3 linked regions of the Arabidopsis thaliana genome follow. The protein of the gene in region 3 interacts with the protein of the main gene of each other region in a pairwise test. Each region holds a gene or a part of one and is shown on either strand. Other genes may lie near its edges.

What was found.
Region 1: the proteins of AT4G25920 (region 3) and MYB4 interact in a two-hybrid assay, tested with the Arabidopsis thaliana proteins (one large-scale study listed by BioGRID).
Region 2: the proteins of AT4G25920 (region 3) and AT5G04600 interact in a two-hybrid assay, tested with the Arabidopsis thaliana proteins (one large-scale study listed by BioGRID).

The regions. Positions count from the first base shown.
Region 1 is NC_003075.7:18,051,292-18,055,047, reverse strand, and holds MYB4 (myb domain protein 4), read right to left. Parts: upstream 1,689-3,756; 5' UTR 1,183-1,688; coding exon 920-1,182; intron 758-919; coding exon 172-757; 3' UTR 8-171; downstream 1-7. UniProt on the Arabidopsis thaliana protein: Transcription repressor involved in regulation of protection against UV. Mediates transcriptional repression of CYP73A5, the gene encoding trans-cinnamate 4-monooxygenase, thereby regulating the accumulation of the UV-protectant compound sinapoylmalate.
Region 2 is NC_003076.8:1,321,428-1,325,183, reverse strand, and holds the start of AT5G04600 (RNA-binding (RRM/RBD/RNP motifs) family protein), read right to left. Parts: upstream 1,611-3,756; 5' UTR 1,485-1,610; coding exon 1,371-1,484; intron 1,267-1,370; coding exon 1,149-1,266; intron 1,007-1,148; coding exon 951-1,006; intron 860-950; coding exon 812-859; intron 716-811; coding exon 618-715; intron 102-617; coding exon 32-101; intron 1-31. Other genes in the region: SIR (sulfite reductase), read right to left, coding at 2,886-2,939, 3,057-3,215, 3,309-3,425, 3,509-3,643, 3,730-3,756.
Region 3 is NC_003075.7:13,163,683-13,167,428, reverse strand, and holds AT4G25920 (hypothetical protein (DUF295)), read right to left. Parts: upstream 1,955-3,746; coding exon 1,898-1,954; intron 1,816-1,897; coding exon 1,061-1,815; intron 949-1,060; coding exon 588-948; 3' UTR 557-587; downstream 1-556. Other genes in the region: NFU3 (NFU domain protein 3), read right to left, coding at 2,335-2,526, 2,623-2,921, 2,997-3,114, 3,200-3,301.

The sequences.
Region 1 (3,756 bases), 4.9 Mb from region 3:
TCTAGATCCGGTATTTAATATTTATGCCAATGGAGTTAATTTGTAAAAGAGAAAAAAAAACAAATTCTATATATTATAATTCACCAGTTAAATTTCTCATACAAGTTGAAGATATACTTTCAAATTATCTAGGCAAAAGTTTTGTACAGTTACGCCTAAAATTTGACAATATTATTTCATCTCCAAGCTTCGAAAGCCCAAAAGAGAAGTGGTCTCTTTCTTTGCCAACCCTAAAAAATCAAATCCATTGCTCATGTCACTCCCCTTGCTGCTACCTCCGACTACATCGCATCTCATTCTTCCGCATCTGCACTCCATGCCGTTTATCATCCCTAAGCTGCACTTGAAACAACGTGGCGTTGTTGACTTTCCATGCCCTTGAAGACGATCAACATCATCAGGAAGACTGATTCTGAGCTCAAGATTCAAATCTGGGAACTTTTCTTGAACTGGGCACTCATCTTTTTCTTCTTTGAACGTAAGCATTGAGATTTTCTCTGATTTTCCCGGAAAGCTTATACTTTCATGGAACGTTTCGACCTTTGGAGCAGAAGTGAATGAGATATTAATGGTATTACTCGTAACTGGTTCTAGTTGTGTAGGTTTAGAATCTTGAGAAGCTGATGATTCTTGGATTGGTCTATGACTCGTTGGATCAATCCCTCTGTTTATAAGCTTTCTTCGTATATGCGTGTTCCAATAGTTCTTTATCTCGTTATCTGTTCTTCCCGGTAATCTCCCGGCAATAAGCGACCATCTATATATCATCAACAAAAAATAACATCATTTAGATAGATTGAAAACTCCAAGATTTTCATTTTGTATAAATTAAAACGATACTAGTTTTTTTTGTTTTTTTTTGGGTATAAACGATACTAGCTAGTTAAATAAGCCCATATTTAGAGAGTATAGTACTCACTTGTTGCCAAGAAGGCTATGGAGCTTGATGATGAGTTCGTCTTCTTCCTCGGTGAAGTTTCCACGCTTAAGGTCAGGCCGGAGATAGTTGATCCACCGGAGACGGCAGCTCTTGCCACAGCGAAGAAGTCCGGCGGCTTTGGGGAGAGATCTCCAGCAGCCTTCTCCATGAGCTTTAATGTAGGCGACGAGCCTCTCGTCCTCTTCTTTCGTCCATGCTCCTTTGTTTGTGTGAGCTTTCTCACAGCACGGTGACCTTCCCATACTTTTATGTTTACTTTCTTTCTTGTGGTTTAGATCTTATTTCGTCTCAAAATCTTATATATAGGCAGATCAATTCTACTTGTTATTTTATATTGAGGGATTGGCTTTTAGCGAGGGTTTTGGCTAAAAGGGTATAAAGGGATTAAGTTGTTTTTTTGTGTAGTGGAAGAGGATTGAAGCATTTGGTGGGGCACTTGGATTTTGGGTTTGGTTGAAGGTTCAAAGCTTTGGTGTATAGTTTATATAGGGTTTTGACTTAAAGCTAGAGAGGAATATACACACATATATATATATACACAAATGCTTCTAGATGATAGAAAAGGAGAGAGAAAGAGAGTTGAACTTATAATTGCTTCTAGATGTGAGTTGGTGGGATGGATTTGAATGAGTAGTGTATGGTGGCCTTTCGTTTTGGTACAATAAGTGAGAAGCTTGACATATATGGCATCATAGTCTTTTGATAAAGCTATGACATTTTTTTAATAATCATGACAACAAATTTAATATTTCTCACTTAAATATATATATATATATATATATGTAATCAAAGAAATTTCTCGTGTTCGTATATACATAAACCAAAATTATTTAGCTACTTCTTTAATTTTTTTTCTTTCTTTTTTTACTTTGCAACAAGTTTTATTTAGTACAAAATATAAACCAACTCTGTCAAGAAATTAATCAATACATGACAATTCGAGTATTCGACTGTGTACATTTATTGACAAATCGTCTTTTAACTTCGACCGATTTAGTACAAACAGTAATTTATTTTTATTTTTTTGGAGTCTCTTACCTATCGTATGAATTAAGTTTGTAGTAAAACTTAGGCGGGTGAAAATTAATGTAGAAAACCTAAAATTCAGTAAAACAAAAAGTTTGTGAATGGCTTTTATCGCCAGATATTATAGGTCACAAGTAAAAATTTGGGTCTAACAAAGGAAGGGGAAACTTGAATAATTTGGTAGCAATAACGAAGAGAAGATATAATGAAGTAGTGGAGGTAGGTGGTAAAGTTAATGAGTGTTTTTTGGACAAGTGCAGGTCAACTATATAGCCTATGAGGTTTTTGTTGTACTGGTCAACAGTCTTTTCTCTAATATATAGACTGCACTGGATTAGTTATTGTTTTTTTAATCAATAATATATCTAGAACTTAACCCTAATACAATCACTTGCTAATTAAACAAAGCATTATCAAATAACTAATTATATGTGTGGGCAGGATAACTTGTAACTTATATATGGTTTTCAAATTACTCTCACCAAATGACAAGCACTTCATGTTTAAAATATTTGTGATGATGCTCATGTTTCTTTAATATTTCAGTATAAAAACAATACAACAAGAACCACCATGACACATACATATAAATTAGAAATATACATATATGATAAACTATTTGAATTAAAGAATGTGCCTTCTAGAACCTTGACTTAGAATGGTTTTCTCTAACCAACTTCTATTTCTTTCATATTAGAGACTTGAAAAATCAAGACTTATTAAGAGATATTTTTTTAATAATGTTGAACTCTAACTGGACGGAATATTATTATAGCACTAATCGTATCTATATTTTTAGAATACGATCGACAACACTAATCATATACGTATGTAGTAATTCGTATGTCAGGAGAATAGTTGAAGAATAGAACACATAACAGTATATAGGAGAGAATAATTAAACTATAGTATCTACTGTGTACTGTCCATGTATGCTAAACAAAAAAAGTTGAACTTAATTGTGAAATTTGGTAAGTTAGGTGGAAAATGTGAGAAGAAACGAAAAAGAATAATGGTTTATTGAAAAAGATGAAAAAACCGAAAAAGAGAGAGAGAGAGAGAGAGAGTAGTTGAATTTCAATTTGTTTAATCTATTGGTACAAAATCACTCACCTCATGCATGATGATGGCCCTCTTCTAGAAGGTTAGGTTCTTAGCTAAAGGCCAAGATTCTTCAATTCATCAACAAAAGTTTACGTCCATTTACATCTGAATCAAAATTAAACCCCAATCAGTCAGTTTTTCACATTCACTATTTATACCCAATTAACTTATTTACTGCTCTTTCTTTTTTCTTGCAACTAAATTGTAAGAGACAAATTCGTAATATTGTTTTATGAAAAACCAAATGCAGCAACACTACATGCAAAACGTTTTTTAACATCATGGGAGAATAATAGTTCTCCAGGTGAATTATTCTCTCTGTTGTTTTTTTTTGTTTTTTTGTTTTAGGAATAATATGTTATTACTTGTTAGTAGTACTACTAATGGGATTGTAAATGACGTGGAGGAAATAGCGATGTGCTATAATATAAAAGCAAAACTTGTGTCACAAATATAATATAGAAGCGAAATCACAATGTACTGATTAATTTGGCATTTTCTTTAAGTAAATATACTGATATTAAAAAAGAGTAGGATAATTATATTATTTAGGTTGCTGCCAAAAACAAAAAAAAACTATATATTATTTAGGTCCGTATGCGGTTGGGACGTGGGATTTGGTTCACCTTCCACTTTATTATTATTGTTTTAATAATGGATTCATTTGTTTGATATTTAATTTCAAC
Region 2 (3,756 bases), on a different chromosome or scaffold from region 3:
TATTGATAACAAGAAAAGTGGAGAGAATAACCTTATTAAGTTGTCTTCGCTCAATCTGAACCGAATCCACTGGTTTGAAGTTACATTTAAACCCTCTCCACCTATAACATTCAGGACATAGATACATTAAGATCCACAACTACTTGAAAAGAACAATTCTCAAAATAGGTCATGCATGTTCTCTTCTGGAAACACTAGAGAGTCTCGCACATCTTTTAGAGTATGGAGTCATTAGAAACCAAGGTAGGGGACAAGAATCACATTTTCTTTACCCTAATTTTATGACTCATAAATAAAACCATCTCAGCCAAGAAAACGATCTTTCAATAAACTCTCTTTTATCCTCACTTATTTTATCACATCCTATCTAGTATCATCCTATGACTCAAATGTCATTAAGTCTCACTCTGTAAACCATAGAACATTGTACTTCAAAGCTTGCGCTAAACCACACGAGATAGTATATTGTTATATAGAGCTCTTTCATTCAACAATATAGCACAAAGTACATAAGCAGCCAAGTAAAATAGCTAACCTACACAATTAGATATGCCAACTAACTATTTGCAAAGAAGATCCCTGATCACTACGAAAAAAAGTCGATTAAAATCACTCACAGATTGGGTTTAACATTCTCTGGTTCAATGACATGGACTTTAAGCATGTGCTCCATCAACAAATAATCATTCATTGCACCCGCTGCAATTTCCGCCACCTGCAGAGAACCAAATAAAAATGTCAAGAATTGAATCTAGAGTATATATATAGCACACAACGGTTTCACCAATTTTATACAGAATCTAAAGTATACCTCAGGGTCCTCAAACTGTATGAACCCAAAATGCTTTGATTTCCCAGTCTGTTAAGACGAATACAAATTCAAAGAGTTAAGAAAGAGCACATCGTATCAAACAAGAGCAAACAAAATAAAGTATCAATCAATGTATAACCTTTTTGTTTCTGGCGACTCTAACTCTCTTAACTGTTCCAAACTGCGAGAAGAAAGCTATAACCCAGAAAGGAAAACCAGATTATCAAACACATAAACCATAGATAGATAATAAAAAGGTTTATTCATATTAGCAAGTTTGTGACAACAAAGGGCATTAAATTGAGCAAACACAATAATAAAGGGTGTAAATTTATACCTTCAATCTCAGTCTCATAGAAGCCATGAGGGATTCTACCGATGTATAGCACAGTAGCTTTATTCTGAAGAGGTGGGGTGGTAACTGGAGCTTTTCGAGCTGGACCTCCTTCTAGTGGCTATCAACAAAAACCCATACAGAGAGATTCAATGTAAAACCCTAAAGAGTCTGATACGAAATCGAAACAATGGTGGTAGTAAGAGAAAGTATCGAAGGAAATACCAAAAAATCAGCTGAAGGTTTCGGGTTCTGGGGAAGAGGTAGCTGAGAAGAAGAAGCCGAAGCAGCAACCTTCTTCATGTTCTTCTTCAAAGCTTTCTTCGCCTTGGCACCCATGTTTTCGTCGTCGGCGAGAGAGAGAAAGAGAGAACGCAAGGAAGAGGATGATACAATTAGGGTTTAAGGCGATTAGGTTTTCAACCAATTTAATCGATGTGAAAAAATTTCCAGTTATACCCCTCCCGTCCATTCTGTTTTTTATGTGTGAATATGTTTTTTTAAATAATTGTGGACATTAAAAAATTACAGTGGTGTGTAAATTTCTCAAAATGTTTTACTTGTGGGTTAAAAAAACAGTCCATATTTAAACAGAGCAACTGAGCAACAACAGAAAGAAAAAGCATAAGAAGCCATCTTAGAAAGAGGAGTAATCAAATGATATCCAGAGCTTTTTTTTTTTTCTCATAAGGGATTTTTATTCATTAAACCAATCTTACAAACCGGGTGAACCGGATAACCTAGTAAACCGGTACCCACAACCCCTTCAGCAAAATATGCAGACAGAAGCCGGCACAATTTCCGGCGAGTGAACAACCGGAAACATCTCCGGATTATAAAAACAAACAACTATTAAACCGAAAAAGATAAAAGATTCAATTTAATCTTCAAATTCTTTCTCTTCTCATCACTGGATCTTTTCCGAGAACAAAAGCATGAAAGAAGTTGTCAGCAAACAATCAACCACGAGGTGAAGCTTCTGATCTCTTGTCATCACTTGCTAATAAGAATAGACTTCGGAAATTGATATCTTGACTTCCTGGAATGGCAAGACGGACCTCAAATGAGGTGATTGAAGCCGTCAAAAACGCCGGACCGTTTCAACTATAACGGTTGGAAGGAGTCAAGCAACCCAGAATTCGCCCAAATCTGGATATTGATTCATGTGGATGAGACTAAAACAGTCGCCCAATCGAAACACCAAAACACTTACCTGATTGTGGATGGTGGTGGAACGGATCGAGAGAAGGCCATGAAAATTTCCAGTTAGAAAAGAAGAAAAAACTGATATCAAATTGTTTCCCAAATCAATTCGGTGAAACAAACAGAACGGCAACGGGATAGCCGTAAACAACACCGGATACACCGGACGGCGAGATAGGACAGCGAGATAGATCGACAAAACCGGATCACATCCGGATTCATAAGCTGGTAAAGCATGCAAAACATCGAACAAAATCTCTCTCTCTCTAAAATTTAGAGAGATAAGAGAGAGAGGTTCTGACTTTTCCATATCCAGAGCTTTAAAAAGGCTTATTGATGGGCTAATTAGCCTTGATACAGTAATGCTTCATTATCCAATCAAAGACAAAGCAATCCAAAAAAACAAAAAAAAAAAAGAGGGTACAAAATCAAACCAAAACGAGAACAAGTTCTCCATCAGAGTTACCGAAGAGTAACAGTTCAGACAGAGACATTACATTACATGAATTATAAAACGAAAGATGATCTCTGTTGTGCTCATTGAGAAACTCCTTTGTATGTATCTATCAGCTCCTTCAGTTTCTCGAATCCCTGCAATTTTACCATTGTTAAAGTTAAAAAACACAGTCATTTGTTTTTTCTTCTTCTTCAATATAAATGTTCAAGCCACAGTGAGAGAGTTAAAGAGAAGTTATATGTGATACTTACCATGCGGGTTGTGTATTCTCCAAATGATTCTTTAGTTTGCCTCTCTAGTTTCCAGTGATAGAACAATGGCTCGCAGACTTTCTCTAAGTCGTGAACCTTAACCTTATCCATGAAACTTCTCGCTATCTGGGTCAGGTTCGGTGTTCCTCCTAGCCAAACCTGCACAACCGACAACAACTCAGAATATTAGCCTGCTTGCTTACTACTATACTGTCTCATCACTAGTAACAAGAGCTTGTGCTCCAACCGTACCTGATAGCTGTTGGGACCATCCCCGACTAGACCGAGCTCAGCCATGTACGGTCTTGCACAGCCGTTTGGACAACCGGTTACTCTTATCACAACAGACTCGTCGTAGTCCAGACCAACCTGATACAAGGAAGAAGTTTTGCACATCAATATCAAATGCCTGTAATGGCACAAGATTAGATAAGTGCACAGAGAGATCTTACCTTTTCAAACATTGCCCTAACTCTCTTTAGAATGCTGGGGATCCCGCGCTCTGCCTCAGTTATTGCCAGAGGGCACAAAGGAAAAGCTGGGCAAGCCATTGCAGTTTGGTTTAATGGGTCGACAAACTCAGGTTGCTGCACAAATAAGCAATGGTTTGCTCAGCTTAAGACACAATAGCTATTAGATTTTCATACCTTATGGGTCAAATAAAACTGCTTACCAGTAAGCCGGCCTGAGCAAGTACTGT
Region 3 (3,746 bases):
ACAAATAAGATAACATGTTTCACCTCTCTTCTTGTGTTTGGTGAGGAGCCATTAAATCAAATTAAAATGTTGAGTAATTAACCTAATAGTTTGTATAATTGTTTATTCAAAAGCAATGTCTATAGTATATATACCACTTGACGAGGAATTGTTCACCGGAGGGTGACTCCACATAGTGATCCACCACAAAATAATGTAACAACACTCAAAATATGTGTTGTGATTTTGATTTGACGTGCGACTCTTTCGTCTTCCCCGTCTCTGTCTAGTGAATACCGAGGGTACTACACCTTAGGACATTAAATATACATATTTAGAGGATAACTTGTTTCAGGAAATAAATAATTATATAAGTTTTGTGCCAAAGTGTGTCTTACGTATATTAATTGAGAAATATGATGAATTAACCGAATTCGTTTAGATTCGCCTTCTTTTTTTTTTGGTAGGATAGATTCGCCTTCTTTTAAGGCACTAATATAAATTTCATTGAACATAGATTAAAAGAGAACATTGGATTTAAATGAAATCATGGGAAAGCAAAGACAGCGATAACATTAGCGAAACATAAACACGTGCAAGAGAGATAATTAATTAGGAGCTAGTACTGGAAAGGAAGCCGGAGGAGGCCAGTAAGGGAATTCCAATTTCCTTAATGGATTATCATCTTTTGTGAGGAACATAGTGCAAGTTTTGGTGGTGAGATCATAAACACCAAAGTTATAGCCCACAAAATAGATGCAGTTAGGCTTGAGGCCAGGGGACGAGCTAGCCGGGACGCAGAAAGCCTCACTATGTCCAACAAAAATGCAAAGATCTCCAATGTCTTCTGTATAGATCATCTTCTTAGTGTAGACACAACTCGGTTTCTCTCCCTCTTTAAACACCATGAACTTTTTTGTTACATTATACAGTGTGGTGTTGTCAATGTCCTCTAAATCCTCTCCATACCTGCAAAGACATGATAAAGCGCGCCAATATGATACTCAAGCAAAGGATTAGAGATTTTGGTATATATGTTATGAAGACAAAAGCTATATATAGCTTTAATTAGATAGTATACCACTTGACTAGGAAAAGTTGGCCGGTGGGTGACTCCACAAGGTGGTCTGTCCTAGAACATGTACTCACGTCGGCCAACTCTTGAAACACCGATTTTGGAAGATCGTCAAACTCCAATTCCACGAAATCAATTAGGTCGTCGTCCTCTGAGTGAGGATCCAAATAGCACAAGATGTTGCCTCCGGGAGTTGGAACGTAGAACTTTTTCTCTTTCTTGGAAAACATGATGCTCGATGAAGGGTTTATATTCTGAGGCTTGGTTTGGATGTTGATCCATTTACGGCTGCCAAAAGGCCTGCACATACTCAACTGAGATCCCAATAACTTGACAACAACTACCCAATTTTTGTCTCGTTTAGGTAAAGAGGACATGACCAGGCTTTGGATTTGTGAACCCGTCGGTAGAGGAGGTAGATCAACGGTCAAGTCTTCTATTTCGGGGTCAGTAGGCTTGTAAAAGATGGTGGGAGAACATACATCGCCGTGGTTGCCACAAAGCTCGACTCGCAACCCATCACGAGAAAACCCGACAGTCATCGCATCACAGACCTCCTCCTTAAGATCCTTGTCCTTAATCAAGACTTCCTTTTCATTACCGTAAACGTTTGTTGTTACGCGACCATCGGAGGAAGAGTTTGGGTTGTTTAGGATGTAGTCAATCAACAGAAACGGGAAGGCTGGTTTAGACGAGAAGGGCTGATTCACTTTAGTACTCGTGTGAGTTGCAGATGAGAACAGACGAACGTTTGCGTGTCTCTGCCATAGTTATGTTCAAGTATTCAGAGACAACAAGAACAAAATTAAAGTTAAAAAGAAAAAGCAAGAGAAGCTTACGTACGAGGAAATTTTTGCAGACAGAGGGTTTGAATATTCGGTTGATTATAAGCTTTGACATTGTTGAAACTCTTAACTATGTTATGTCTGTGTTTCCTCATATCTTCTTATGTCCGACTTATTATAGAGATTCTAGTATCCTTGCTCACCAAGAACTCGCTATAAATGCATATTTAATTAGAGAATAATTGGTTTAAGGAAATAACTCTTTAAGTTCGATTATCTTTGTGTAGTCAAGTCATGAATATTTTATAACTGTTACCTAAAAACAAGGATCACTAGAGAAAATGTCCTTCATACATAGGATACTTTTTTTTTCTTTTCCTTTTTCTTCAACAGAAATGGTTATTGTATTAGTTGTACTAATTATATAATTGGAAATAAAATATATTGAATCAAAAATAGGCCTTGTATATAAGTTACAAAATAAAAAGGTTAATGTCACTCTAGAAGCTGGACTGCACCTATAGAAGGAATTGTTTCCCTCAGTTTTTGAGTCAACGCGACACGAACAGTCATGACTCCAGCAGCTGGTCCAGTGAGTCGAACCTTGACCACGTAACCATCAATCTCAACTAACTCAAGCCCCCCACCTCCAGTACCGGATAGGTACGGCCTTAACTCAGAGAGAACCTAAATTGACAACAAACCAAAAAAGGACCATTCAGATCAATTTCAAAACCAAGGGGCTAATAAACCAAAAATAACTAAACCTTTAAAAAACCAAACCTTCTCAATGTTCTCATCGTTCAGCTCTAAACCTCCTGTCTCGGATTCAAGAAACTGCTCAACGGACATGATCTCTGGAATCTTGTCTCGAAGACGACTCTCGATTCCCATCTTCAACGTCATTGATGAGCTAGGACACGAACCACAAGCTCCTTGTAGCTTTAAAACCACCACAAGTCCGTCGATTTCGTGCAACGCCACGTTTCCTCCGTCGGCCATTAGAGATGGTCGTACTTCGTCTAACACTCTCTCCACATTCTCTTCCGTTAACGGCATGACGCAGCTCACGTGACCAAATACTAAACCAAACATAACAAGAATCTAAATCACAACTAAAGTTCTAAAGAGATTGGTCTGGTTTGCAAATCAAGTACCTGTTCGTTTTCTCAAAGGTCGAGTGTGTTGTAGCCAAGAAAAATGTATTCTTTGAAATTGACCCCTGAGGAATGTACTGCATTTGGAAGAGACCCCTAAAGTATCTGAAATTGCGTTCTAAACACAAGCGAAAGAGGAGAAGAAGAAATCAAGCAAAAGGAGTCATTTTTTTGGTGAAGCTCGACGAAGTGATAACAATTACCTTAGAATTGAGAAGCGACGAGCGGAAATTAGGGTTCTTCTCTGCTGTTGAGAGCGAGAGGTTCATCGTTGTAATTCGGGTTTGACCCGAAACAGAACCCATTTGGAACCTCACTTTTCTGCTTCACGATCGAGAGAGTTTCCAGAAATTGTGAAGATTTGGGGAATTCGGGTGGATCAAGTTTCTTTTTTTTTTTTCCCAGGAGATTCTGTAGCGAGAACAGAGTAAGAGTGGGAAAAAAAAAGAGAGAACTTTTCATTGGTGGATTGATGATGATATTGATACGTCTTGGAGATGATTTAATTTTGTGGCTAAGATTTTTTACTTTATTAATCAATACGACAGAACAGACTCCCAAAAGAAATATAAAATTAAAAAAAAATTGATTGTTCGACATGGGCTTCGCCTCTTATAAAGCCCAGCCCAAATATAGATAGACCCAAAAACGAGAATTGGATTCGGCACATCTAAGCAAGCCCATCCCAAATAGTATCATCAAGGGTAGAAGAAGAAATCTTCGGCTAATCTAATTTTTTTGTTTAGACTG